Linked DNA regions of Diceros bicornis minor. The protein of the gene in region 4 interacts with the protein of the main gene of each other region in a pairwise test. Links are inferred from orthologs where the notes say so. Each region holds a gene or a part of one and is shown on either strand. Other genes may lie near its edges. The genes, in order: CSTF2, PEF1, ANXA11 and TFG.

Region 1 (7,439 bases), on a different chromosome or scaffold from region 4:
TCATTTCTCGCATCCTTTAACAAACTGGGAAATGTAAGTAACTGTCTTCCTGAGTTCTGTGGGCCACTCTAAGAAATTAATTGAACCCGAGGAGGGGGTCATTGGAACCTCTGATTCATAGCCAATCAGTGAGAAGCACAGAAGACAACCTGGACTTGCAACTGGCATCTGAAGTAGGATGCAGGCAGTCTTGTGGCAGAGCCTGTAACCTGTGGGATCTGATGCTATCTCCAAGTAGATAGTGGCAGAATTGAGTTCAAGTGTAGGATACCCAGCAGGTGTCACAGAGAATTGCTTATTGTGGGGAAAAACCCCCACACGTTTGGTGACCAGAATTGTCAGTAGTGAAGTGCTCTGTGTGAAAGTAAAGGAGACACACAGGAGAGGAGAATGGTAGGTTTTTCCAACACAGTAGGGAAATGCAAATCAAAACCACAATGGAACACCACTTCACCCCATTAGGGTGGCTATCATAAAGAAAAAAACAACAGAAAATAACAACTGTTGGTGAGGATGAAATGGGAACCCTTGTGCATCGCTGGTGGGAATATAAAATGGTGCAGCCACTGTGGAAAATGGTAAGGCGGTTCCTCAAAAACTTAAACATAGAATTACGACACGATCTAGCAATTCCATTTCTGGGTATATACCCAAAATAATTGAAAGCAGGGACTCAAACAGGTATTTGTACACCCATGTTCATAGCAGCATTATTCACAATAGCCAAAGGTGGAAGGAACCCAAGTGTCCATCAACGGATGAATGGATAAACAAAATGTGTTTGTTTGTATACATACAACAGAATACTAATCAGCCTTAAAAAGGAAGGACATTCTTTTTTTTTTTTTATAATTTTATTTATTTGTTTATTCCCCCAAAGCCCCAGTAGATAGCTGTATGTCACAGCTGCACATCTTTCTAGTTGCTGTATGTGGGACACGGCCTCAGCATGGCTGGAGAAGCAGTGCATCGGTGCACGCCCGGGACCCGAACCCAGGCCACCAGCAGCGGAGCACGCGCACTTAAGCGCTAAGCCACGGGGCCGGCCCAGGAAGGAAATTCTGACACATGCTACAACATGGATGAAACTTGAAGACATTAGGCTAAGTGAAACAAGCCAGTCACAAAAGGAAAAAGACTGTTATGACTCCACTTACATGAGGTACCTAGAGTGGTCAACTTCATAGAGACAGAAAGTAGAATGATGGTTGCCAGGGTCTGGAGGGAGAAAAGAATGGGGAATTAGTGTTTAATGGGCATGGAGTTTCAGTTTGGGAAAATAAAAAAGTTCTAGAGATGGATAGATGATGGTTGCACAATGTGAATATACTTAATGCCACTGAATTGTACACTTAACAATGGTTAAAATGGTAAATTTTATGTTATGTGTATTTCACTAGAACAAAAAAAAATAGCAGGGCCGGCCCCGTGGCTCAGCGGTTAAGTGTGTGCGCTCCGCTGCTGGCAGCCCGGGTTCAGATCCCGCGCGCGCACTGACGCACCGCTTCTCTGGCCACGCTGAGGCCGCGTCCCACATACAGCAACTAGATGGACGTGCAGCTATAACATACAACTATCTACTGGGGCTTTGGGGGGAAAAAATAAATAAATAAAATCTTTAAAAAAAAAATAGCAAACTAAAACTATCTCTGAGGTTTTATAAGAATCAAGTAAGATCTATGTAGAAAAGCTTTGTAATCTATATGGCTCTTCACAAACATTAGCTCTTTTTAGTCATTATCACCCTGTTTACCCCAACCTGATCCCATTACCCACATGCTCTACCCAGCTATGCTCACCCAGCAGTATACTGTTGGAGTTCAAGTGCTGTCCAATGATATCCACCTCCATTTTGCTAAATCCTGGATTTCATGTGCCAAGGCAACAGTGTCCCATAGTTCTGGTTCTGAAACAGAGCAAGCCTCCAAATAGATATAAGTTTTAGACAAGCCTGGTGGATTCTAGGGAAAAAAACTCAGGGACTTTCTCCTCTTTACTCAGTTTTCCCCAAAGCTTGGCTTGGAAGCAGTCCCCACTCAGCAACAGGAGGTCACCATGGCATTGCCAAGAACAAAGTAAATATTCCTCCACTTCAGTTGACCACCTAACTCCCTGGCTTGCTACCCAGCAACATATCTCATAAGGCATATCTCTTTGAGCAGGTGAACAATCCTGAAATTTCTTTGAAGGAAGAGGATTCTGGGGAAGGAAATGTATTCATTAAGCATGAATTGAGAACAAAAATAGTTAGATAAGAAAAAAAAATGAAAATGAAAATCACAAGACTAGAATGACCAGCTGTGATGGATTGGACAACTCTCTGTAACCTCAGAGTTGAACCCTCACATATTCCCAGAAAGCATAGATATTGCTGCAGAACCAGTGTGATAATGCAGTAGTGCAAAAGTTAGGAATGGTGTTTCTTTCTGCAAAGCAAGCCACTTGGTACCTACACCCAGATACTGACCAGGATCTGTGTCAGCATTCAGGTGCTCTCTGAGAGACCCAAGTTTCCTTAGCTCTTTTAGGCGCTGCTCATTGAGGACTTCTCCTAACATAGGTAATGCTACAGTGCCATCTGGAATCTTTCTCATGCAATATGTCTATCCAGGAGTTGCTGCCTTTCCAGATATTCCCTGGAGGACCAATGAGGGATTTCATTCCATGACTCTTTGAGGAGCTTTAAATGTGGGTCAAACATGAAGTAGTACTTACCTGGCCTTGGAAGTTTGACTTTCTACGGCCAGCAGAAAGAACCCGAGTCTCTATGCTCTCACAATCTTGAACATCTTTGCTTGCTTCACTTGTACCTTATCCAAGATTCTTAACATCATCAACAAGATAGGATAAGAACTCAGGACTTTTCCACAAAACTTTCTGCCAATGCCCCACAAATCTTAACTGTGGTTTCCCAAATTCTTTGATTCTCCATTATGTACCCTTTCTCTTTTGCTCAAACCCCCCAAAATAACACTTATTCTATATATTTAGCCCCATTTGTGTAGAAATGCATCTTTCCTAGTTCTCCCCCTACCTCTTCATACTGCACCTATATCGTTGTGTTAACTGAGCCTCAGTCAGAATACCTACAACAGCATCCAATGTCCCACCTTCTGTCTTCATTTTTCTATAACCCAGAGGCAAAAGAAATGTGTCACTCTGGGAGCATTGCAGTGACAGGAAGACTCTCGTGGACAACAGGCACTGAGGCAGGGGTCACTAGCACATGGCCTATAAACGAAACACAAATGTTGAAAAGCAAAAGCTTAGGAAATATCCCTCCCACACATCTCCTCTTTTATAACTAGTAGAATAGGGCTGGTTGATGAAGTGATAGAACCAACAACCCATTCTCCACAGACGGCTGATGGCAGCAGAACAGGCCAGGTTAAGTGCCTCAACCCATTCTTGAGTGGTTCATTACTATTAGTCATTGACCCACCATCACCAGGTCACACGCTCTCAGTTCTTTTCCAAAAATGGTAATAAAGTATATTGAGCTATCCATATTCTCTCAGTTATACTGGAAGGCAGAAAATACAGCAGTTAAGCATTCAGCCTCTGGAGCCAAAGCAACCTGAGTTCAAACCATGCTTTAGCTGCTTGCTGTGTCCCACCGGTCAATGATGTTTTCGGATACCCTGCCTGCCAATGTCCTCCGCCGCCCCACCGCCTCACCACCGCCAAACACACGGAGCCCAGGGGCTATGCGAAAGCAGCCAGGCACGTCTCCCTTTACCTCCCCATCTCCTCCGCTATGCCGGCGCCTTCACGTCGAGAGCCCCTCACTCTCTCAAGCTGCCGCGACCCTCTTTCCGCATCTCACTCCGTACACTCACAGCTTCTACAAAATGATAATCCCCACGCTGGTGGGCGGGGCCAAGTATTCCCCTCCCCTAACAGGGCGGGATTAAAATGAAAGTACCGGTTGTTAGCAAACGACTTCCCTTACCATGGTAAAACCGCTACCGCCATCTTTATTGAGGCCGACGATTACTTGTTAGCCTAAAAAAATGAATAAGGAATTCTACAAACTAAAATCCTTCAAATGAGCCTGGGGCCGCCGGAATCCGGCTCCGAAAGGAGCTACAGCCCAGCCAGAGTGGGTTAGCGCTCTCGTGGACATAACGCGCGCCTGCTGCTGACGGAATAACGCCAGGGGAGGGGCCCGCTGTCCGCCCGGCCCAGGCGCTTCCGGCTTACGCGCCGTACGGAAGCGTATTCGGCGCTGGACTCGCGCGCCGTACGGAAGTGTGTTCTGGCGCACCGGAAGCCGCCGGAAGAGAGCGATGGCGGGTTTGACTGCGAGAGATCCTGCGGTGGATCGTTCTCTACGTTCGGTGTTCGGTGAGAGGAATTCGGTGGAGCCAAGCATCGGTGGGGGACAGAAAGAGAGGGAATGGCGAGGAGTGTCCCTTGCACCTCGTGAATCGCCGCGGGAGCCGGTTGTGGGTCGGGCGTGCAGCTCTACCTGCCTATCCTGTGGGGCGGCCAACCTGGTGGACTCGTGGGCAAAGTGACGCTCCCCTAACCCCGAGGTTTCGCAGCCTTTCCACGATGTGCCTGAGGAAGTTAAATAGCGTTCAGCTTCTATGTGTTTCTCCTTCCATGAGCTTCAATTATTATCTAGAAGCGAGGGCGCATGGCAACTGTCCCGTACTACTTCTCACTCCCTGTCCCAGAATACAGATTATGTGCTGAAGGTATAGATCCTTGTGCCCACTTTCCGCCTTCTCATGAGGACTTTCATTCTCTGCTTTTTGCCCCTAACATTTTAGTTCGTCGATAACGGTAGCGACCATCTGGCATCTTAAGGTGGATTGTAAATAAATGAATGAATGAACGACTAAGACCTCGTCAAAGAAATTTTAAAGAGGATCGAATCTATTCTGAGTAATGTTTTCAGCCGAAATAAGTTGTTTTTTTATCAAAGTACATGTGATGATTTAAAGCACCTTTTGGAAGGACATGACAAAACAGTTCAGAATAATTTTTAAACATCCTCCACTACATTCATGGTCATTCTCCTTTGAGTGTGTGTATGTGTGGAAATACGGACATAGAAGCCGGTTTTAAAAATTATAATATTGATATTTTTAGTTGTTGTTGTTAAGACTTGGAGACTTTCAGGTAAATACCAATGCCTAAGTATTTATTTTCACCAAAGTTAAAGAAAATCTAACACTTGTCAGATCAGTCTGAGAAGTGATATTTAGGAGTGCCTACACCTTTTGTAGTTAGTCTCAGTGGTTTATTTCTCTTGTAATTAAAGTTAGCAGGCAAGATTGAAATCTTGTCTAAGGGAGTACCACAGAACTGGGATTGGAGAAACACCATATTTTGAGCCAGTTGTTACATTTTCAATGATATAAGTAGACACTGTGTACTTTCTCACTATAAAGATCTAGGTTACAAACTCAGAACTTAATATGCTATTTTCTTCCTTAGTGGGGAACATTCCATATGAGGCTACTGAAGAGCAATTAAAGGACATCTTTTCTGAGGTTGGACCTGTTGTTAGTTTCAGGTGAGATCCCCTTTTACTCCTTGGTGAGAGTTTCTTAAAAAGCCCCACAAATTTGGCCCTTAGTAATAGTGGCAAGGTTTTTACTGGTGACTTTATACATGCATTCTTTTTTTTTGTTTGTAACAGCTTTATTGAGGTATAATTCATGTACCATTCAATTCACATTTAATTTTACTAAAAGGTACATTTTTTTTCTTTTTTTTTGTTTTCCTTTTTTTTTTTTTTTGGTGAGGAAGATTGGCCATGAGCTAACATCCATTGGCAATCTTCCTCTTTTTGCTGAGGAAGATTGGCCCTGAGCTAACATCTGTGCCCATCTTCCTCTATTTTGTATATGCGACGCCGCCACTGCATGGCTTGGTGAGCGGTGTGTAGGTCCATGCCCGGGATGCACACCTGCAAACCCTGGGCCACCGAAGCAGAGCACGTGAACCTAACCACTTTGCCACCAGGCCGGCCCCCATTTTTTTCATTTAAAAAAATGTTTAAAAAATATTTCAGTGAGGCAGAGTGATGAGGTTATTTGTCTTACAGTGGACCAGATCAGGACATAGCAACGTTAGCAGGAACCCTGTGTGTATGTAACATTTGTGCCTGATACTTGGTTCTGCTCTCCAGATTGGTATATGATAGGGAGACAGGAAAACCAAAGGGTTATGGCTTCTGTGAATACCAAGACCAAGAGACGGCACTTAGTGCCATGCGAAACCTGAATGGGCGTGAATTCAGTGGGAGAGCACTTCGAGTAGACAATGCTGCCAGTGAAAAGAACAAAGAAGAGCTAAAGAGTGAGTATAAACCCAAGTTGTATGTAACATGAGTTAGTAAAGATGTAACAATGAAGATTTTCCATTTATGATATGTTTTAGCATCTGCTGAAGTGATTAGCCACACACTTTCTTTACTTGACCCATCTGAAATGCCTGCATTAGGGAAGTGTATATCTTTGAGAGACAAGGTAAAATTGACTTTAGAGAGTTGACTTTAGAAGTCCTTCAGTTGCCAGGGAGTTGATTTCCAGTTAAAGATGAGTTCAGGCTTACCAAGCCATTAGTAGTGTTAACTATGTCATTAGTGTTTGCCATTCCTGTAACTATGCCAGATCTGTAAATGGTGGGACTACTAAGGCGTTCTTATGACTTTTTTCATGAGGTAATAGATCCAGGAATTCCATTTTGAGGTTAACATCCTTTTCTGTTTAAATCTTTTGCTTAATGACTTGTCAAAAGAAATCGATATGCCTCATTCCTAATTTAACATTGTCCACCCATGTGTCCCAGCTTTCCTCTGAGAGCAGAAAATACACTCCTTCACTTCCTCCACAGAAATAAGAGACTCGTAAATCACTTATTTCTCAGCTCCAGAGAATTTAAAGTTATCAACAGGTCCTTACAGCAGCCCTGGAAAGTAGATACTTGAAGTGGTTTAGCTCTTTATTTTGTCTTCTTAACCATTTTGTACTTTCTTCCTGATCAGGCCTTGGCACTGGTGCCCCTGTCATTGAATCACCTTATGGAGAGACCATCAGTCCTGAGGATGCCCCTGAGTCCATTAGCAAAGCAGTTGCCAGTCTTCCACCAGAGCAGATGTTTGAGCTGATGAAACAGATGAAGGTGGGAGGAGGCATTAGGTTATGAATAAATCAAATCACATCAGATTTACAAGGAGTTAATTAATAAAGTTAATGGAAATGATTCTCTGAGCTCAAATAGAAAGTGTGCCTATTGACCACCATTTCTTGCACCTTCAATATTCTATATGTGCACAGTGTATTTCACATTTCATGCAAAGAGCTTTCCATTTTTGTTACACCAACACACCTACACAATCTGGCTGGGTTTTTGTGGCCCATAGATATCAGATGTAGATATTAAAATGTGACTTTTTTCCTAAATGATAGTATTATGGTATT
Region 2 (7,648 bases), on a different chromosome or scaffold from region 4:
GGCATTGGAAAATTACAAGAATTCTGACTCCTAACAATAGGCTGGAATCCTCCAGGGCTATGTACTGGGTGGAGGGGAGGTGGTGCTCACCAAGCCTTTGGACGCTTTAAAAAAAAATACATTTCCTTTCTTGGAACACCATGGACCAGGAGCTGGACAGGCAGACAAGGATATGAAAAAAAGCACTTTTTTGCTATTCCAGCATTTCTTCTTCCGTTCCAGACACGTTTCTCTCTGTGCTCCTTTTCAAGATTTCACTGAGCATAAGCCCAGGCAGCATGGCATGATAACAGCATTTGTAGCAGCGGCAGCACTGGCACACACTATGTGTTAGCAGTGTGCCAAGCTCCCTATAGGCTTTATATTTCATCCTCATTTCAGTCCTATGAAGTCTTATTCCTCCCTTTTTACAAGCGAGGAAACTGAGGCTTAGAGCCCTTAGATGATGTGTCCAAGGGCATGTAACTATTAAGCAGCAGAATTAGGATTTGAGCCCAGTTCTGTCTAACCTGCAAGATCAGGTTCTTAATTTCTATGTCACTGTTTCTAGGATGCATACAAAGTACCTCCTAAAGCTTATTAAAATGTAGACACCTGGCCATTCCTGGGTGCAGAACAGGTCTGAGGTGGAACCCAAAAGTGTGTTTTCAACAAGCTTCTAGGTGATTCTGACGCAGGCTGACTGTTTCCCCAGTGTTCCTCAGGAATACTAGTGTTACCGAAAAATGACCAGACATAAAAAAAGGGAGGAGGAGGGAATTCCATGGTTGGTAAGTTTAAGAAATACTGCATATTCTATCCCTTGTTAGCAGATTTACAATGTATATTGACAAATCAAGAATTCTGAGATGACCTATGGTGAACCAACTTATTCAGCTGTATTTAACAGAGTATTTCCCTGATGCATTTAACCACAAAAATCCTCCTCCATTAGCAATACCTATCAACATCTCACAAGACTCAGCAAATGGAACGGAGCTTGGGAAACACTGCTCGATTATACTTCTTCCTAACCCTCGCCTAGGCTGGCCTCTCTCTTTCCTACCCCTGCTAAGTATGCAATGAAAGGATTTCTAAGTTCTAGCCCGGGCCTCACCCCCTCACTTGCTATGTGTGACCCTGGGCAAGCCACTTAATCTCTCTGGGCTCGTTCCTCAGCTATCAACTGGGGGTAATAATCCCTGCCGGCATGCCTCCAGGGCTTCATGATTGAGATAATGGAGGTCCAATACCTGTACAAAAACTGTACAGGGCTACACTCCCTCAGAGCGCTCTTGCCACATCCTTTGCCATGTGACTGTACTCATCGACTGCTTTGTAATGTCCCATACAATGTTGTCTTCCAATTTTTCCTGCATGGGTTTTATCTCCTAAATTAGCATGATCTTGGGCAACTCAGTAGCCCTCTCTGGGCTTCAGTTTCCTCCTTTTAAAATGAAGGGAGTGGGCCAGCCCCGCTGCTTAGTGGTTAGCTGCTGGCAGCCTGGGTTCGGATCCCAGGCGCGCACCGACACACCGCATCTCCGGCCATGCTGAGGCCGCGTCCCACATACAGCAACTAGAAGGATGTGCAACTATGACATACAACTATCTACTGGGGCTTTGGGGAAAAAAAGGAGGAGGACTGGCAATAGATGTTAGCTCAGAGCCGGTCTTCCTCAGCAAAAAGAGGAGGATTAGCACGGATGTTAGCTCAGGGCTGATCTTCCTCACAAACACAAAAATAAATAAATAAAATAAAATGAAGGGACTATTCTGAGGGCCCTCCCAGCACTGACCTTCTAAGAATCTGGTAAAAATCAAAACACTGAGAGGTAACACCTGTTACACTCTTAGTAGTACCAAATGCTTTACAAGCATCACTTCATTACTCTTCCCAACAGCTCTATGAGGTAGACTCTATTATTTGGTCCTATTTTACAGAGGAGTTAACTTCAGCTCAGAAAGGCAAAATACCTTGCTCAAGGGCTCCAAACTAGTTAAGTGATGGAGCTAAGATGTGAACCTTCCTCTGACTCCAAACTGCACTTACCCCTCCACACTTCCGTCACCCAGCAAAGGATTCTGGCCACAGAACCACCTCGCTGCGGTGTTCTTGGCTGGATCGAGATGGGTTGGCAAGTGGGGAAGAGGCACTGGCTGACAGCTCTGGGTTCTGCTGCCTAACTGCCTAGTCACTTCAGCTAAGTTCCGTGTCTTCTCTGGGTTTCATTTTTCCTATGTGTGAAAGGAGGCGGGTGTTGGACGAAGTCAGTAGTCAAAGAAGCTCACCTGTGGAGCCTGCTAAGCCACAGAGGCTCCTGATTATTCGGATGCAGTACGTCTGGGGTGTATTTTTATCCGACGCCCCAAATGATACCGACGGAACTAGCGTCTAAATGTTCTACTGGCGTTGATGACCCCGCTCAGGGTCCCCGCCGGAGACCTGGGAAGGTGTGGGGCCAGGCCGAGCCCAACCTGGGTCTATGAGATCCAAGTCCCCCAAATCCTCCCGTGCGCCACGTCAAAGGGGGCGCGACACGACCTCCCCGACGTGCAGTCCTACGTGACGTGACAGACGCGACCGACCGTCCCCTTTCCCTTCTCTTCCGCGCGAGACCTCGCTGAAGCCAACCGCAGCGTGGGAAGGGCGCGAAGAAAGCGGGGAGAAAGGAAAGCGAGGTCCCGAGCCCGGACGTAGCGAGGCCCCTACCTGGATTCCCCCGCCCCTCACGCACTCACCTGCCCATAGGGATAGCTGGCCATGGCGACTCTGACGTAACACGTCGACGAGGGGCGGGGCTTCCTGGTTTCAAACCCGTCCCTTGTCTGGGCCTAGGGGCGGGACCGCTTTCGATTGGATGTCCGCGACTGTCAATCCTGGGCGCATGTGTCGACGGAAGTGACGGTATAGGGCGGTGGTCGAGTGACTCCGGAGAAGCGGGAGGGGCTTCTCCTGAACGTCGGCGTCCTGTTTCCGAAATTTTGTTCGTTGTGTTGGCGCGGATGTTTCTCCCACTGCTGCCCTAGAGTAGGCCACAGGGCTGGTCAGTCCCGGATATTTAGTGAGAGGCTTGGGTGGGTGTTGCAGCAGTGGCCATGTTGTAACCTGGCAAATGGGACGCATGATAGTGGCGTCGTTGCTGTCGTCACTTCAAGTTTCCGCCGCCGGAGGGCTTAGGCGGTTGCCCTGACAACGGGGAACCGCCTGAGGCCTCGTGGAAAGGCTAGAGGCAACAGCGGAAGTACAGATGTTCCTCTTATGATGAGGAACCCATCCTAAGTTGAAAATATCTTAAATCAAAAGTGCGTTTAGGGCCAGTCGTGTGGCGCAGTGGTTAAGTGTGGGCGCTCCGCTGCTGACGGCCTGGGTTCGGATCCGGGCGTGCACCCACGCACTGCTTGTCAGGCCATGGTGTGGCGGTGTCCCACATAAAGTGGAGGAAGATGGGCATGGACGTTAGCTCAGGGCCAGTCTCCCTCAGCAAAAAGAGAAGGATTGGCATGGATGTTAGCTTATGGCTGATCCTCCTCATAAAAAAAAAAAAAAGTGCGTTTAATATACCTAACCTGCGTTTAATATACCTAACCTACCCAACATTGTACCTTACTTAGCCTAGTGTACCTTAACCGTGCTCAGAACACTACAATTGGGCAAAATCGTCTAACACAAAGCCTATTTTATAATTAAGTGTTGAATATCTCATGTAATTTGTTGAATACTGAAACTGAAAAAATAGAATGGTTTTATGGGTACAGAATGGTTGTAAGTGTATTGGTTGTTTACCTTGGTGATACCATGGCTGACCCCTTTGACTTGTGGCTTGCTGCTCCTGCCCAGCATGATGAGAGAGTCTCATACCACGTATCCCTAGCCTGAAACAACATCAAAATTCTAAGTATGGTTTCTACTGAACGCATATCACTTTGGCACCATCGTAAAGTCGAAAAATCATTAGTCAAACCATCCGAAGTCGGGGACTGTCTGTACTTACTCTCTAATGTTGACACCACATGCCAGTTAGTACCTTTGAGTAAGATCTGTGGTCTTTGGAGAAGAAAGTACCACACCGTCAGAGTGGGAGGAAAGTTAGATCATCTAGGGCCTTTTCTTTCATAAATGGGAAAATTGTGGTCCAGAGAGGCTTGCCCCGGTTCGCAGTGGGTTAGGGCAGAGTGTGATCTAGAACTGAGGTCAATGGATGCCCGGTTCTCAGCAGAGTCTTGACTGGTCCCCAAAGTAGGTCAGATCCTGGTTACAAGTGACCTCATAGTCAAGTACTTAACTTGCCTCTTGGTAATTCGGGCTCTACACTTATTTGAATGCTTATTCGACTATTTTGTTAAGTTCTTTCATGTGGGCACAGATTGTGTCTGTTTTTACTTGTTGTTATATCCCCAGTACCTAGTACAGTGCCTGACACTGTATTTTTTAAAAATAAGTAAGTGAGTAGTGTTATGAGGTGTTATCCATTCCAGCCCAACTTTCTAACCATCTAGCCAGGCGCTTTCCAAAATCACAGAACCAATCATGATGCTTGCCCACTGGACAGCCTGCAATGGCTCCTCTTCATCTCCACCTAGAAAATACGGCCCAACCGCTTTATTCTGGCACTCCAGGCCCTTGACCTTTGGCCCAACCTCACATTTCCAAACTTATATCTTACATCCCCTGCCCGTCTTCCCCTCTGTACTCCTTTGTTCAGTTCCACCATCCAGCACTCTTGCTTTGGAGTGAGGATCTTGATTTACTGCTTTCTAACTGTACGACCATGGGCAAGTTATTTAACCTTTGTGAGTCTCAGTGTCCTGGCTGTCAGAACAAATATGTAAAGAGATTTGAAAAAGAGGCTTATCACACCTGCTCATGCCCAGGCTTATGCCCAAACCACTCCTTTCATCAGATCAGCAGCCTTCACATCTCCAGTCTTTCAAAGCTCAGTTCCAACCCCACCCCGCAACTACCCCTCCCTCATTCCCGCAAGTCCAGAGTTAGCCACTCTCTTGCCTGCCTCCTTTTGCACTTGGTACTGTCACTGTGCTATATTCCAGCCTGCCTTGTGTAAGAGTTCTCTTTGATATTTTTCCCAAAATCCATTCCTCTCCATCTCAGAAAATCCACCCAGTCTCTCAGGCCACAGACCTAGGATCACTCTTGTGTGGTCTCTGTTTTTCCACTAACTTCCCCACCCCCATTTGGTCTAGTTCAGAAATAGACCCTGCTCTATTTCTGAAATAGTAATACTAGAAATAGTAATACTAGTAACTAGTATTACTAATACTAGAAACTAGTAATACTAGAAATAGTAACATCTGCTCTTTTCTCCCTGTTTGCGCGATCACCCTAGCCCAAGACACCATCCTTTACGGCCGGGATCACTACAATAGCTTCCTGACCCATGGCCCTGCTTTCACTTTCCCCCACACTCTGTTCTTCGTAGGGCAGCCAGAGTGATTGTCTTAAATGTAAATCAGATAATGTCATTCCTGGGTTTAAACTCCTCCAGAGGGTTCCCGTAACTCTTATAAAATCTAAACTCATCCTTATGACCTTCATGGCCCTATATGACCAAGACCCTGCCTGCGTCTCTGCCTCACTTCCTGCCACTGCTGTCCTCCTCAGTTCACTCCAGCTGGCCTGGTCTCCACACCAAGCTCATTCCCACCTCTGGATTTTCAGATTAGCTCTTCCCTCTGTCTAGAATGCTCTTCCCTAGGCACTTCACTGGCTGGCCCCTCCTGGCCATCCAGGTCTCAGTTCAACTATCACCTTCTTGGGGGAACATTCCTTGATACTACGTCTAAAGTAACATAGCCCCCACTGCCACCACATTCTAGTTGTCATATCACTGTGTCTCATTTTTTCATGATACTTGTTGCTAGTTGAATTGTCCTCTTTAAAGTTTACATGTGTATTGTAGGATTGTCCTTTTCTTATTCACGCCTCTATCTCCAGTGCCTAGAATAGTGACTGGCATGAATTCAATAAATGGTAGTAGTTATTATTATTATTATCCTGTATTGAATGCTTACTAGGTGCCAGACATTGTGCTAAGTACGATGTGTTGTTTCATTTTCACCACAGTCCTTTGTGATAGATTCTATTACCCATTATAATGAGGAGCTGAGGCTGAGAGAGACTAAGTGACTTCCCTACTATCAAAAAGATAATAGAGAAGTCAAGATTTGAACCCAGGTCCACAATCTTTTAACTGCTGGGTACTTAGTAGGTCTTGTGTTCTTTACTTTTGTAACCACCTCCCCTCCAAGTCCCCAGAATAGGTGGAATCGAATTGCAAAATCTCAGAAGGGGAGAAGTCCTGCAGTCTGGGCTGACAGTCAAGGGATATTTGCTGGGAGAGAGAATAGTGACACTTGGCCTGCAAACTGGGGTAACATGATGCACATTCATTTTATTCCACAAACGTATTAACTTAGTGAGTTCCCATCACTTGCCAGGCTCTGTTCTAGGTGCCGAGGATTAGACTCCTATGAGAATTTCACACCCCAGCCCTCTCTGCTCAGCAAAGGGCTCTTAGGAGAGCGTTCTGTGGGATATCTGTGCTCTCTGGGGGCAGGGCATCCCAGTCATCTCTCGGGCAGTCAGAGACCAGCCAAAGCCAACGTCCTGGGCTACACCTCTGAGGACCTGTGGCAGGCCCAGGTGTGTTTATTTTGGAGAGGAGTGGAAAAGAGGGAGATGGGGATCTTCCCAAGACTGAAAAACAATCAACTCATTTCCAAAACCTCAACTACCTGAGGCCGACAGAGGTGGGTGGGGAAGTTCCTGTTATTGTTTCATCTTTAGCCAAAGGAGAAAGCTTGGATTCCAGCCCTTTTTAGAGCACAGAGCACTTTCCTGAGTTCATGGAAGCACTGTGGTTGAGCCATTAGAGGGGAGGCAGAGCTTGGTAACGGAAGCCCCATCCCCTGGAAAACATCGCCTCCCCTAGAGACATACCATTCCTCCCAGGCATCCTGGCTCAGCACCAGGCTCCAGTATCGCTTATTGAGAAGGAATACCAACACCCACTTAATTATTATGGAATTAATTCTCTTTGATTCTGACTAGCTCCAGTTCTGAAATTTAAATTCCAGTTGGATGCTTTGGATCAGAGGGTGATTTGCAGCTTTCCACAGAACCAACAGAAAAATGAGAACAGCAGACATGGCAATTTGGCTGCACTCCCCTTCCATTATGGGATCATATGGAGAGTACATTGATATGTTCTATTCCCAGAGATTATTCAGGACAACGACCTTAAGATCTAGCCTTTTAAGGGGTTAACAGACCTCATGTGAAGAAAGAGTGTAAATAGATTCTGTTGAATTCTGGTGAAAGGGGAAAATATTATGACAAAACGGAAGATTTAAATTCCAGAAGGCATCAAATTTTGGGATTTTTGTTTGCAGAATAAATATGCAGCAATTTCTCCATCTTACAGAGTAGAAGGTCTCTTCAAATTAAGGACCCTCCAGTCCACTCTTCACACTGTCGTCAGTGAATTCTCCATTAGGCAAACCTGACCCCACACGCCCTCTCATAAACCTGTGCTTCCCACTGTCCCCCTGCTCACGCTCCGCATTCCGACTGCACTGTCTCGCATCATCCAGCACGCTGTGCTCCATCATCTCTGGACCTTGGCATGTTGCTGTTCCCTCTGCCCTA
Region 3 (7,375 bases), on a different chromosome or scaffold from region 4:
TGGCAGGTGTCCCACATATAAAGTAGAGGAAGATGGGCACGAATGTTAGCCCAGGGCCAATCTTCCTCAGCAAAAAGAGAAGGATTGGCAACAGATGTTAGCTCAGGGCCAATCTTTCTCACCAAAGAAAAAAAAACCACAAATTCCCAGCAAGGAAACTTCAGTTCCTTCATCTTCCCTGAGAGCTTTCCTATCTAGGTATCACTCAAATTCCTGGTGTTCTAGGGGCAATGGCATCAGAGGGTGTTGAAGAGAAAAATGCAGAGAGACCTGAGTCTGTTTGCTTGGCTGTAATTGTGAAACACACACAGGCTCTCCCCTGAGTACCCCCAAAGGACCAAGTCCCAGGAACTGTTTCAGGCTTATGGGGGGAAGATGGCAGCTAAGAGGGAGGAAGAAGGAGGTGATTCCAGGAGAAGAGGGAGCTCCACAAAGGTCCTGGGCCCTCCAAACATCCTCCAGCACTGGGCGTGGATTTCATTTCTACATTCACCTCCTGCATGCACCAGCTTTTTTTTCTCTGTTCTGCAGTGAATTCCCGAGAAGAACCCCCACTAACCTATTCTGGCTCAATTCTCACTCCTATCATCCCAAACTACCCATCCTTCCCCAAATCATGTGACCAAGGCATCTCCAATCCATCTTGGCCTTCTAGGTACAGCAATCAAGATGGGGCCCACGGATCATCCTTGCCCTGGCTACATAAAGGAATCAAAGGGAACTCCACCTTGGCCTCTCAGCCAGTGCCTTCTCCCACTTATCAGTCTGGAATAATTTTTATCTCACTCTCCCCACTTTTTTTTTTTTTGCCTATCCAAACCCAGCCTTCAAGGTCTAATATTTTAACAACAGGGAAATCTTACTTCCCTGGCCTGGCTCTTTCACTCAACTAACATCTTCTGAGCACCTACATGAGGCAAGGCCCATCCTGGGTGCTGTGAGACCTAGAGATGAGTAAGAAACAGCCCCCACTCTCCAGAGACAAAGAACAGGGCAGAGATAAGAAATGTGGCCATACAAATACTACACAAGGAGAGAGCGTCAGTGCCAAAGGAATGGAGGAGGAGGGCTGCGTGGGCTCAGAGCATGTCTTGTCCCTTCCTGCTGGGAGCAGGCACCTCGGTGGCTCCCATGAGGGCGGTGATTAATAGGCAGAAATGGGGGAAGGAGGGCATTTCAGCATGAGCTAAGACAGAGGGACAGGTCAGAAGGGGAGCAGTTCAACTCAGCCAGATCTTCAGCTGCATGAAGGGAGTGGTAGCTATTATTACTATATTATTATTGTTGATACTCACAGATGATTACTTATGCACCAGGCCCTGCTGTAAGCTTTATGTCTAATGTGAGTGACATCTACCTGGGACACACAGGTATGGTGTACCAGTCACCACCTGTTCTGACTGCTCTTTAGTGTCTGAGCTGTAAAGCTGTTAAATATAGTAACGCACTGAATCCTCACAATAACGCTGGGAGGCAGATATTGTTAGTACCCCCATTGTCAAGATGAGGAAACCAAGGCACAGAGACTGGTAAGAGACGAGAGTAGGGAGGGATGCAGGAGCCCGACGTAGTGAGCACCCGATGCCCAGGGCAACAAACTGCCCTGGCACCTCAGCTGGCCTCTCTTGTCAGGGAACTCCTTGTAGCACAGCGAGTGCCCTGAGGCAAGAGCCCATGTTAATCCTCCTGGAATCCCCAACAATGGACTGAAGCAAGGAAGCAATGAAGGAACATAAGGAAAGCCAGGTACCCGTGAGCAAGGTAACACACCCTGCCTGTCCAGCTCGTGGGCTCAGCCTGGCCCTGGCCTGCAAGCTTTGGTTCCTGTTACGTGGGCAGGGCAGAGGTTCACCCCTCACAGCACCACTCCATGCCCAAGGGCAGCAGAGAGCAAAGCAAAGGCTGGGAGGGAGGGCAGAGTGGCTGGCTACCATGGATACCTAGAGTCTGTCCTAAAATACGCCATCTCCATAGAAAGGTCACTGATTAGAGGGGCAGGGACAGAAACGTCCAGGGCAGACTGTTCCTAGCTTGGGCTAGCTCTAGCTAGCTTAACTCCTCTCCAAAGTGTCTAGATGACAAACTTCACAACTCTCCTTTAAGCCAATATGGATTTCTGCCTTTTTAAGCCTTCAGAGGGTTGGGCTGAGAGCCCAGGGGGAGACAAAAGTCCAAGAATCCTTCCCTGAAATTGTAGTTCAAGGCTGAAGAAGGGGGAAAGGCAGAGACGGTAAACACACAGGTGAACACAGCACCAGGGATGGATCCTGCATTCTCTCAAATAAGGTGCCTTACAAATCAACTCCAACACTAGCAGCTCCCAGGAATTTGCGTCCTCCCAGTTCCAGAGGAAGGTTCCTGAAGGCAGCCTCCTCTATTATCTCTCCTCAGCACAAGCCTTTCCCAGAAGGGCGCGCACACTCTCGAGAACTCAGCTGGGTCGGAGGGCCAGGGGCCACCGGCCACCCCCCACACCAGCCAGTCGCCTTCTGCTCGCTTGTTCACCTGGTCCCAAGCCGGCCCGGGCCGCGCTGGACAATCACGTGGCCGTGGACCCCGGGGCCCGGCCTGCGCACCGCCCACCCCACAGGGAGGGCAGCCCCCGCCGCTGGTCTAGCTAGGCAGCCAGGCCGACGCCCGTCCGGGACCAGCGCGACACCCGTCCCCGCCCCCATGCCGTGCAACCAGGAAGCCGCCGGGAGGGGGCGCGGGGCCGTCCGGGCCTCATCTGCGGGGGTCGCGGCGCCCTGCCGCCGTCCCGTCCCGTGCCCCCGGCCGGCTGGGGACCCTCACTCACCTGGCCACTGGACACGGGGGCTGGGGGCCGCGAGGGACGGACGAGGACGCGGGCGGCAGCGGCTCTCTCTGCGGGCGTTCGGGGTGCGGCGCCTTGGGTCGGCCTCGCGCTCTGTCCCACTCCCGTCCTCGGGGCGCTCGGGGCACTCGGGACGCTCCGGACCCGCGGGCGCCGCAGCCGTCAGAGCGGGGCGGGTGGAGGAGCCCGCTGGCCGGAAAACTCGGCGGGCGCGCCCGCTCTAGGCTCCCCGGGGCGGGGCGGGGCGGGGCTGGCCGTGGCCCCGCCCCCAGGTGAGAGCCGGCCCGGGCCAGTGGGCGGGGACCAGCCTCCGCGAGGCGGGGCAAGGAAGCTGCCCGTCTTCCGGCTCCCGCGGCCGGACGGAGGAGGACGCCGCGGAGCCCATACGCCACCCGCCTCTCGCGACCGGTCCCGCCCTGCACCGCGCTAGGGGGAGGAATTCCCCAAGCCCTTTCCGTCCCCTGTACCATTGTTAGTGACTCTTTAAGGTAAAGAAAACTTGCTGCATTAAAAAAAGTCACACAGTGTGGAAATGGGGGTGGGGGTGGGAAGAGTAGCTTTACAGTAGAGAAACCGGACAAACCACCTCAGCCAGGTGATCAAGGTCAACGTGGAATGATAAATCCACAGTGATAGTGTGTCCCCCGTTGTGGTCGTCCTCCCAAGAATACATAATTCCCGTCTGATCGTGAGAAAAACATGAGAGAAATCCCAGTTGAGGGGTATTCTGCAAAATTCCTGACCAGTACTCCTCAAAACTGTCAAGGTCATCAAAAACGAGGAAAATCTGAGACACATACTGTCACAGCCAAGAGAAGCCGAAGGAGATATAAAAATTAAATGTAACGCGGTATCCTGGTGAAAGGACATTAGGTAAAAACTAAGGAAATCTGAATAAAGTATGGATATTAGTTAATAATAATGCATCAGTATTGGCTCATTCATTGTAGCAAAAGCACCATGCTGATATAAGATGTTAATAACAGCAGAAACCAGGGTTTATGAGAACTCTGATTCGCAATTGTTCTGTAAATCTAAAACTATTCTAAAAAATAAAGTTTATTTTTTAAAAAAAGGTCATTCACGTAATATATGAATATATGGTAGTTATAAAAATATATGAATATATGGTAGTTATAAAAGATTTTTTTAAAACTGAGACTGACTTCACTTCCCTAACCCACTTTTAGGTGTGCCCTTCCAGATCTTTCTCTCTACAACACACTCTGTTTGTTGTGTATAGTATATCCATGTAGATGTATTGTTTACAAAACAGTGTTGCAGTTATTTTCCTGCAGTGTGATTTTTTTACTCACTGTATCTTGGAGAGCCTTTACATGCAAGCGCACCTGGATCAACTTTTGTTCTTCCTAATGACGTGGTCGAAACCTTGTTTATGACTTGTTTTACAATTTCCAATTCTTTCCATGAGACTTCTTTCAGTCTCGTCGCATTACTCAATCGCCTCTGGCTAGGAGCGAAGAAATTTACCTTCAGGGAGGCAATCAATGACTTTACTCTCCTGCCTATGTGTTCCTTGAGGCATATTGTACCTTGGAATGCAAGGACACATCTCCTTCATCCGCCCCCATACCCTAATCTTTGAGGCTAACCAGACCACCTAATACTTTCTCTTTTGACATTTCTATAGAATACTAAAAATAGCTAAACTGGTATATAATGGCCCCATACAGGTACTTCCATGCAGCAGCTCTCTACTGCCCATGGGTCCTGTCCCCACGCTGAACACAAAATAGAGGTGCACGAACCACCGAGCGGCTGGTGTCTGAAAATTCTTTTTCGACTCGAGACTCAGCGGCCCCACATCACTAACTAATGCACAGTATGCGCCGTCGTGCGCGTCGCCATTCTTTATTACCTAGTCCTTACTGAAGGACATTTGGATCGTGGCCTGTTTGGGGCTGTTAAAAACAACGCTGCTGGTCTTATTGGCATTTTAACAGGGCACGAAGCGGGAAGGACTGGACGCGGTAGGCCGAAAAGGAGGCTCTTGCCTCGGCTCTGCCCCGGCAGGGGGGCGGGTGCCTGACAGAAGCCGTGCCCTGGGGCAGCCCGGCCGCAGTCTCACTACAACGCTGGGGACCCAGTCATCGTCCGCGGCCTCTCCAACATGCCCCCTCCCTCAAGGCGCGGCTCGTTTTCGGGCCTGGACCGCATTTTTTGGAGATGAGTGGACGAGTGAGGGGAGACTCAGGCCGGAGGCTCCAGAGCGACTCGGAGGAAACGCTCCCCGGAGCAGAAGAGGAGCGGAGGGTCTGAGGCCCCGGGAGACTCTCCCAGGGTTGGTTATTACTCTGGGGGGGGGGGCGCCCGGGGCGGCGCAGGAGCGGGCGGGACTCGGGGCGCGGGCGTGAAGCCCCCAGCGAACCGGCGGCGTTCCGAGGGAGCTTCTCTTTCCCGTCGCGCTCTCTGGGCGGGGGCACTCGTCCTGGAAGGTCACCTGGCACGCACCCAGTCCCCCCCTTCCTGGTCACTCTGCGCCCTCGCCCTCCGCCGCCGCGAAGGCGAGCTTCTTTGAATGGCGCACTTTCCTCCTGACTGAGCGAATGCTTCTTTAAATATCACGTTAAAAAATAATAAATCATTTAGGGTGGAATTCCTTCTGTATGTAGCACACACTTTCCTGCTTCAGAACTGAGCTCTTCAAGGCCCAAACGATAAATAGCTACCACTGTGCTCACCTTTTCGTGATTTTCAACCATTTGTTTTCAACAAACCCGTGTTGATCCCCAACTCGGTGGAAACACCATGTGGGGGAAAAGACGCTAGATTTGGTGTTCAAACACCTGGGTTCCGTTCCCATTCTGCCATTTGGAAGTGATGCGTTCTCCCAGCCTCGGTTTTCTCGCCTATAAAATCTTCAAAATGATCTATAAAAATATGTAAAATAACTCCTGCTTCATTCTTCTCAGAGCTGATACAAACATCAAATGAAGGAAGGGAAAGTTAAGTGCTTTGTAACTTGGTGAGGTGCCGTAGAGCTCTGAGTAGTGTTACCGCACAAAATTGGGGTTCTCTCTGCCCATGCGCATAAACAAGCCAATTCGTTACGGCATCAGCCTTTGGCTGGCGGGGGGTGGGGGGGCTGAATCAGCTTTTATTCTGCAAGACTCATCTGCACTGAGACACGGGGCCTGTGCCCTCAGGTCTGTCTCCCTATTCAGGATTTGGGTGAACTTGAACAGGTTAGAGAGAACAGGCTAGCACGTGGAAATGCTGGTGGGACAGGTTTTGATTGGTGGGCTTTAAGCATTTATGGTAAGGTTTTAAACATTTATGACACGGTTCTAAACATTTATGATGGGGTTCTAAACATTTTGATGAGGTGGGGAAGGAACTTTAACACCGGATCTTCCTGAATGAGGGACCCCTCACTTCCAATAAAAGTCCAAATTTCAAGTTCTGCTCATGTCCTGGTCCTTGGATTCCTGGGGAGGAGAATCTTTGGTTCTGAGGTCGCTTCAGTTCACGATTTCTTCTTTTGCGCACGCCCTGACTGCATGACTTTGCAGTTTTTCTGAAAGACAATTCTTAATCACTCTGTTGATAAGAGATGGGGTCAGTTGAACTGATTCTGGAGGGCCTGCAGTTCAAGTAGTATAGTATTATTATAATCTTTCTTACTTTGAGTCATTCAACAGACAATGGTTGAGTACAGCCAATATGACCGGCCCTGCACTTGGTGCCAAGGAAAGAGGGACAAAAGAAAACTCCTTTGCTCTAATACGGGTCTTCATCTGATGGAGAAACAAATAAATCGTAAATACCCCACATAACAGAGGGTTGCAAAAAGGATCCCTGGGGTAGGTGAGAGGATGGGATCCAGAAAGGCTTGCCAAACTTGGCAAAGAACCAACCTTTAATTGTTTAAATCATGTTAATTTTTAAAAAATTATCTATTGTTTTAATTTCTGCTTTTATCTTTGAGTTCTGTTCCTTCTTTCTTTGGGTTAGCTCTGGTGTCCTTTTTCTGGTTTCTGGAGTTGAACATTAGGGTCATTTATTTTCAGAATTTTTTGTTGTTTTCTAATAAATGTATTGAAGACTATATATCTTCCCCTAAAACCTGCTTTAGCTACATATCACAAGTTTTAATAAGCCATGCTTTTGTTTAATATGCCATGTTTTGCTATCTCTCAGTTATGAATACTTCTTTTGTTTTCCATTAGGATTTGATCCTTAATTCATGGATTATTTAGAAGTGTGTTTTCCATTTTTGGAAAGTTATGGCTTTTCAAAAAACAATAATTTCAGGGGCTGGCCCTGTGGTGTGGCGATTAGGTTTGCGTGTTCTGCTTTGGTGGCCTGGGGTTCGCTGTTCAGATCCTGGGCACAGACCTACTCACTGCTCATCAAGCCATGCTGAGGCATCCCACATAGAAGCCATCTCACATAGAAGAGCTACAACTGTACAACTATGATACACAACCATGTACTGGGGTTTTGGGGAGAAAAAAAAAAAGGAGGAAGATTGGCAACAGATGTTAGCACAGGGCCAATCATCCTCAAAAAAAAAAACAATAATTTTGTCATAGATTT
Region 4 (6,908 bases):
TCCAATAATGCACACCCCCCCCCCCCGACCTCAGTGGGTGTGTAAGATCAGAGTGCACACTTTAGAAAAGAAAGAAGACTGTCAGAGAACTGACCACTAAATACTAATTTGCTTTAGAACTTCCCCCTCTTGGGTTTTAGTTCAATTTTATTTCAGGTTATTCAGTGTGAGCATCCTGTAATGACTTTGTAATCCTAAACTCAAAATAATGTCTCAAGTCTCTAGTAATTTAAATGGTTACTATATAATAGAGAAAACACTCACGATTAAATAATGTGTTAATATCTCTTCTTCTCAAGGCCTATCTCTTGTTTTCAAGACCGAGATGTTCTTGAATACATTATCTAACACCACTTTGCACTTCCCCAGCATCAACTCCTTTCTCCTCCTGCCCCACGTAAACGACCTCTCAGACTGTTCAGAGCGCCCTACAGTCTCCTACTGGCTATTCTGGTTTCAATCTCATGCTTTTCTACTGGCAGCTTTCTGTTTTCTCCTCTTAAATTTGTTATTTCATTAACATCATACTTGGTTTTCATACTTCTCTACAATTATTCTTTGTGTGTGTGTATGTGTTTGAAAGCACCCCACCATCCCAAAACACCAACCCTTCAAATACCAACCCTGAGTTTTCATGAGTCCTAACTCATTTCATGAATATTACATATAATGCCCTAAAGTTCTTCATATAAATGCCCTAGGTCCTTCCTACTGACTATTCCTTAAATGAATGTCTTAGACCCCCTTGCCATCCTCTGAACAGATTATATTTTATTAATAAATCTTTAATGCAATGAGGCATTACATACTGAATCTAACCCTCTAAGGTCAGTGCAGGACCGAGCGGACTGTGTTCCACGATCTGGATGGTGTGTTTGTCGTAATGTAAAATAAGATACGGTTAGTTTTTTATCTGCCAATTCTCATAATGGACTTCTCATGAAGACTGTGATTAACTGAAACCTCCATAGGACCTTTTCACCCGTTAGCCAAACATGCTCTCTTCATTCAGGAAACAGCTACTGAATACCTGCGATGTGCCAAGCTCTGAAGTATAATTACTTCAAGAAGACGGTCCAGATTCCACCTTGTTTGCCTTACAGCCTGAGAGTAATAAAGAACTTCAGTAACTCAATGCACGCTACCTTCTCCTACCCACAGGATATGTAAACCAGCAATAACATAGTCAAGGACCAGGGCTTAGCCTCAGCAAGATGGTACTATCTACCCTCAGTAGCACCTAGAATAGTGCCTGGCATATAGCAGGTATTTAAAGGCTTGTTTTTGTTTCCTGAACAAAACATCAATGAGGAATAATTAAGTTCTAATACAGGGATTGGAAGAAGCTGTACGCTCAGGTCAGTTCCTAAGACAGACCTTCAGACTGTACCTTCTTTATGTAACTAGAAGTGACTCCCCACAATACACATACTCCTAATTAAGAGAAATTTCCAACATCGAATATAATTGATAGTATGTCCTTTTGACTATGGGGGGATTGTTGCTCAGTTCCAATGGATGTGACAACATCAGTCTCTCTTACTTTGTATCACCCATGTTTGCCTGCAAATTCACTTATTCCTTGGTGTTTCTTAGGGACTGGAAACCCCCTGCGGCCTGAACTAGGGCTTCTTCCTCAAGGTTGTCCCCAGTGTGTGCAGTCATCTCCTCAAGGCATGCACACTGTCACAAAACTAAGGGTGCCACAGAATTTTCCCTGCTGGGGGAAATCCCATCCCCAATTTCTTTATGTAACAGAAGAATTCAGGTCCTGTTTTTCTCTAACTTCAGTCACAAGGTAGAGACTGGTATAAACCACTAGTTCCCAGTACTGCTGGTGAGATCCTTACAGCATTTTCTTCTCCCATCTTGTCCTTGCCCCACTCCCTCTCAAGTCCAGAAATGACACAGCCATTAACTTATGAAACCTTCCAACAGGAACACTGTTCTCAGGGCGGGAGAATAAAGCGACTGCCCAAATGCAAATAAAAAGCCTGCCTCTTGAACCAGGATCTAGCTTCAGTGGCCAAACCTCAAGCTCGACTAACCCGGTGGGTAGGGCCCGGTTCAAATCAGGGGGCCTGATTAGGCTCCTCCCGAGGGTAGAAATTTCCTCTAAGAAACTCTAAGCAAATCAACTCTTGATTATTCCGAAGAACGCAAGGAGCCTCAAATCCTGCTTGACCAGAGGCAGTGTAGCAAGATGGTCAAGATTCCCACTACTAGCCGTGTGCCCTTAGGCAAGTACTTCTCCAGGCCTCACTTTCATCATGTGCAAAATGTAAATAATATCTAAATCTGGAAGGATCTTTGTGACGACTAAAGGAGATCATGCATCTAAAATACTCAGTCTAGCGCCCAACAAAGTAAACTCTTACAAGTTAGCGATCATGATCGTCATCACTGTAAAACTGGGCTAGGCCTCCCGACGGCGCTTGATTCAGCGCTGACACAGCGAAGCAACGAGGTTCCTCTCCAGTGACCCCAATCCACTATTCCCACAGCGCCATTCTCCGCCCTCCTCGCCCTTCCCAGGCCCTCTGGCGGGGGCCGCTCGCTCGCCCCCGGCCTCCCACAGCTCCCGCTCGCCAGTGCGACCCCTGGAGCCGGCGGAATCCGGCCCGAACAGCCCCAGAGCCCCAGAGGCCCGCCGCCCTGCCACCGGGCCTGCGGGACCCCCTCCACCCCGGAGCGCTCCCCTCCCCCCGCGGGCCCCACCCGGCCTCCCCCTCCCGGCCCGCGACCCCTTCCACGGCCGCTCCGGCCCCGCCGCCCGCCGGCTCGAGCGGGGCCCTCCCCGCGCTTCCCCGTCCGGGGCCCGCCTCGTCCGAGCCTCCGTCTCAGCGGCCATACCGGCTTCCGAGGCCGCTTCGCGGTCTCGGCTGGCCGGACGCCGGGCTCCGGGGCGTCGGGAGGCTGCGCTCACGGCTCACTCGGTCCCCTCGGCGGGCCGGGCCAATCGCGCGGACCCACCGAGCCCAGCGAGAGCTCGGCCCAGTACGTGGCAGGTAGAGAAGAGAGGGGCGGGAGCAAGAACAAAATCTGTCCCTTCGCCCCGCCTCACGGCGACAGGCCACCCCAGGACGCATGCGCAGCGGCGCCGGCGCGGAGCCGGCGAGGCCCGGGCGTGCGTGGGCCGCAGTCCTCGCTTTCTCACTGGATGACCGAGCGCAGGAAGTGTGAGCGGCTCGGGGTCACGCATGCGCGGGGCGTGACCAGCACTTCCGGTTTTCTGGAAGGCTTCCGCTTACCGTCTCGCGCCTGTCGGGGCGTGTAGTTCGCTGTTTTGGGCTCTTTTTGAGAGCCGGTTGAAAGTGGGTGTTTGTCCAATTTTGGGTGGTTTTTTTTGTTGTTGTTTTGTGACCACTGTAGTTCTAGTCGTATCGCGAAAGAAGCGAACGCTTTTCCCGCCTGTCTTCTGCAGACTCATTCATTCACTGTTGGCGCCTACGCTCTGCCACGCAGGGTGCTGGGACTGGGGATGAATCAGTCTGTGAGCAAGCAGTTTCCAGGAGCGGTTACGAGACAGAACAGACCTATGAGTGTAAAGGGTAAACGCTGCGAAATGAAGGCGGATTAAGGATTCCAGAAGCCTTTTTGGAGGATAAGGCATTTGAGCGTGCCCTATATACTCTTTCCTTCTCAGCTAAAGCGTTTGTTTTGAATACGGGTATTTATGTTAAGAAGCGCCCTGGCTAAGACTGAACCCTACGTTGGGCGAGCAGGGGGGGGGGGGCGGTGCTATTTTAAAAGATGCAAGCAACTTTACCTGGGGTAGAGTAATTCAGGGTGAGAAGTTTTAGTAGTGTAAATAGTGTGATCTTTTTGCAGTTATAAGTCTGAAAAATTCTATGTGAGAGTGAAATGTGTGAGTTTAGAATGCTTTTTGCTTCTGAATTGTATTTTGCAACCCTGTGTATATTGCTCTTTGAGCAAATGCTTGCAGAAATTGGGGAGCGAGGACCGTAGAAGAAATGAAAAAAGTTGCTGATTTTCTCCAAAGACTGTTCTTCATTGCTTGTTATTTAGAACTGAGTAATCCAAACTTGGGGAGAGAACTGCTGTCCAATAATAGTATTCTGATGTCTTTGAGATGGTTTGAGATTGGATAAAACCAGACAAATATGGCAGAGGTAAAATTCTCCCTGAAGGAAGTGAATTATACCGCCGTCAATATTCCTAGAAAGAGATCAGATCCTGGGGCGGGAGATAAGGTGATGAACCTTAGCCTGGAACGAGGGGAAAGAATTTCCTCTCTCTAGGCTCCCGGGAAAGGGGCACATATTCAAGAGTCCTGCCGCTGAGGAGAAATAAACTGATCCCTGTTACACTGGGGCCAGCTGGAAGCTAGGACGAGTCAAAGTGTACCTTTGACTACACTCAAAAGGTAGTCTTCTGGAGGGGCTGGGGCTTGTGGACTCGGAAAGCAGCTTGAGGTTCTTTATGTTGCCAATTCCCTCATGCTTCATGCCCAAGCAATTAGTGAAGTCATGTTTAATGTTACACCTGTTCCCAGCTGCCACTGTGGAAACTGAGAGATGGGGTGGTGATGATTCCTCAGGTCAAAGCAGAAGCAGGAGCTGCCTGAGGCAAGAAGTGAGAAAGGAGGAAGTAAAGCATCATTTGGAAGCCAGATCCGAGGCTCAGGTGACATGGGACAAGAAGGACACGTAGGCAACATTAAAGCATTTCCCCAGGATTCTCCAGAAATGTACATTTTTAAATTTTTAATAAAAAACTGTAAAAGATTTTGCCTCCTGCTATCCAGCTGGATGTAGGCTTACAATATTGTGATTGAGCATGAAATGGAGGACATTTGGCTTTATGTATATATCATATGAGAGCATGTATCGAAAAGCACACAAAATGATCATCTGAGTTTGTCAAATTGACTTGTTAGGTTATAAATACCTTAATAACCAAAACCATATTCTGCCCATTTTCTGGTTGCAGCTTAATACTAAATTGTCCACAAAAACGTGTTCCTGATCCTATATAACAACTACATTTTAAAAATTAATTTGAGCATAGTGAACAGCTGAAACTCTCTACCCAACCCAAGGATTGGAACATTATCAATAAATGATGTCTTGCTATGTGCTCCTCCCCCATGTAGTCCCCATGCCGCTCTGGATTTTGTGTCTCACAATCCCTTGGTTTCGTTGTTGTTTTTTCAATCTTTTACATAGTTTAATCACATATATATGTATGCCTGTGGAATATGTTCAATTTTACTTGTTTATAGATATTATATTTAGTATCATCTCTGTGGTTTTCTGGGACATAATTTTTGTGCTCAATATTATGCTACTAAGATATATCCATGTTGTGGCATATAGCTGGAGTTCATTTTCATTGCTGTGTAATATTTCCTTGGCAGAAAATACCACAAATTTTTTTGAATCTGTTTTCCTATCAAAGTATATTTAGGTTGTTTCCAGTTTCTCCTGCATGCCTCCATGAACATTCTTGTATATGTCTCTGGTACAACAGTATCTCTTGATTATATGCTAATACATGGATTGCTGAATGGTAGATTATGCAAATATTTAACTATAAGATAATGCCAACTGTTGGTATCATTGAGACTTTTTATTTTGTGGGCGACTATAAATGGTATCTCTTTGTGGTCTTGTTGAAGACCATGAGGACTACATTATAACCCTGACTTTGTACCAAACGTTTGACAATTAGACATTTAGTTCTTTATGAAATCTCATGTGATTGTTCTTATCCTTACTTATAATTCTGTCTTTGAGAAGCTTGTTCACCACCCCTGCCTCCACCCCACTTGAGGGCAGTGATTATATTCTCTCTACCCCTCCCAGCAACTGGCATTGATTGCCCTGTGTGACTAGCAGGCATTCAATGAATATCTGTTGAGTCAAGGGAATAGTTATTAGTTTCTGTAATGTATCCACAGTTGCTGATGATAGAGGTCTCTGTACTTATGCTCCCAATAAATGCAGGTGATAACTGACCAGAGAGCGATAACCTGAATTGAACCAGTTACCAGCCTTACCAAGAACGTGGTTTCTCCCACTGTACGTGTAGACACTGATTTTAGTTACTGCTGCCTTTTGTTAGTGAAGCCAAAAGGCTGTTATCATACAATTATCATTTACTAAGCACTTATGGTCACATTTATTGGGATAAGCCTCAATCAAGCCATTAAGAAGATGGTTCTAGGAATTCTATAAGTAATCACACCTTTAAAGTGCTCTTAGTCAGAAAACATCTTCCCCTCCTTTTTGTGTGGCGCTTAGAAAGACACTGAACCAGAGTAAATTGAGCTTCGTGCTCACGTGGCCCTCTGTCCTATGTCCAGGTGAGTTTGGTCTTAAATGAGCACCAAGAATAGCCTTGAATCAGAAGTGTGCAAGTTGGAATATGTGAAGAAAGGAGAAGCAGTGTGAGGAAATACCTTTGACCTCACCTGTACCAAGGGGGGAAATGTGGCTCTACGTTTGAAGGTTACTCTCTGTGCTTCAGGGACATCTGAAGAAGGGAGAGAGTTGTCCTGTGGTTCTGAGGGAGAGAGTCAGCTCTTTCTCCATCAAAGTCTCTGTGGCTAGAACTCTTCAATCAAGTGGGGAAATCCTGAGAATGAAAAAGGGAGATTTCAGCCTGGACAGGAAATGCGCCAAAGCCCATGAGCCTTATAAGCAAGTGAGATGAAACCTGTGCTTCATCATGTTCTCCTTTAGTAGTTAGTATAAATCATTTTGAAATTTTTAATCTCAGCTACCCTCCGGGGAACCAAAGAAAGGCTGTAAGTTCCTCCTTGGGTGAGATTTTCAAAGGAGAAGTTATGTGACTCCCTAAGAATCAGCTCTGTTGTGGTGGCAGTCAGCTAACTAAGAGAACTCCAGACAGAAGGAGAAACTCCAGAAGACCAAATAGGGGCC

What was found.
Region 1: the proteins of TFG (region 4) and CSTF2 interact in binary tests that used the Homo sapiens proteins (3 or more experiments, as listed by UniProt). The two-hybrid records come from large-scale screens. The link is inferred for Diceros bicornis minor from reciprocal best matches to the Homo sapiens genes TFG and CSTF2.
Region 2: the proteins of TFG (region 4) and PEF1 interact in binary tests that used the Homo sapiens proteins (3 or more experiments, as listed by UniProt). The two-hybrid records come from large-scale screens. The link is inferred for Diceros bicornis minor from reciprocal best matches to the Homo sapiens genes TFG and PEF1.
Region 3: the proteins of TFG (region 4) and ANXA11 interact in binary tests that used the Homo sapiens proteins (3 or more experiments, as listed by UniProt). The two-hybrid records come from large-scale screens. The link is inferred for Diceros bicornis minor from reciprocal best matches to the Homo sapiens genes TFG and ANXA11.

The regions. Positions count from the first base shown.
Region 1 is NC_080781.1:93,991,897-93,999,335, forward strand, and holds the start of CSTF2 (cleavage stimulation factor subunit 2), read left to right. Parts: upstream 1-4,379; 5' UTR 4,380-4,642; coding exon 4,643-4,703; intron 4,704-4,730; exon of another isoform or gene 4,731-4,892; coding exon of another isoform or gene 4,893-4,893; intron 4,894-5,448; coding exon 5,449-5,527; intron 5,528-6,145; coding exon 6,146-6,315; intron 6,316-7,003; coding exon 7,004-7,140; intron 7,141-7,439. UniProt on the Homo sapiens protein: One of the multiple factors required for polyadenylation and 3'-end cleavage of mammalian pre-mRNAs. This subunit is directly involved in the binding to pre-mRNAs.
Region 2 is NC_080752.1:46,549,042-46,556,689, forward strand, and holds the start of PEF1 (peflin), read right to left. Parts: upstream 3,037-7,648; 5' UTR 2,746-3,036; coding exon 2,722-2,745; intron 1-2,721. UniProt on the Homo sapiens protein: Calcium-binding protein that acts as an adapter that bridges unrelated proteins or stabilizes weak protein-protein complexes in response to calcium.
Region 3 is NC_080745.1:27,750,298-27,757,672, forward strand, and holds the start of ANXA11 (annexin A11), read right to left. Parts: upstream 3,005-7,375; 5' UTR 2,798-3,004; intron 1-2,797. UniProt on the Homo sapiens protein: Binds specifically to calcyclin in a calcium-dependent manner. Required for midbody formation and completion of the terminal phase of cytokinesis.
Region 4 is NC_080754.1:5,386,158-5,393,065, reverse strand, and holds the start of TFG (protein TFG), read right to left. Parts: upstream 3,047-6,908; 5' UTR 2,854-3,046; intron 1-2,853. UniProt on the Homo sapiens protein: Plays a role in the normal dynamic function of the endoplasmic reticulum (ER) and its associated microtubules. Required for secretory cargo traffic from the endoplasmic reticulum to the Golgi apparatus.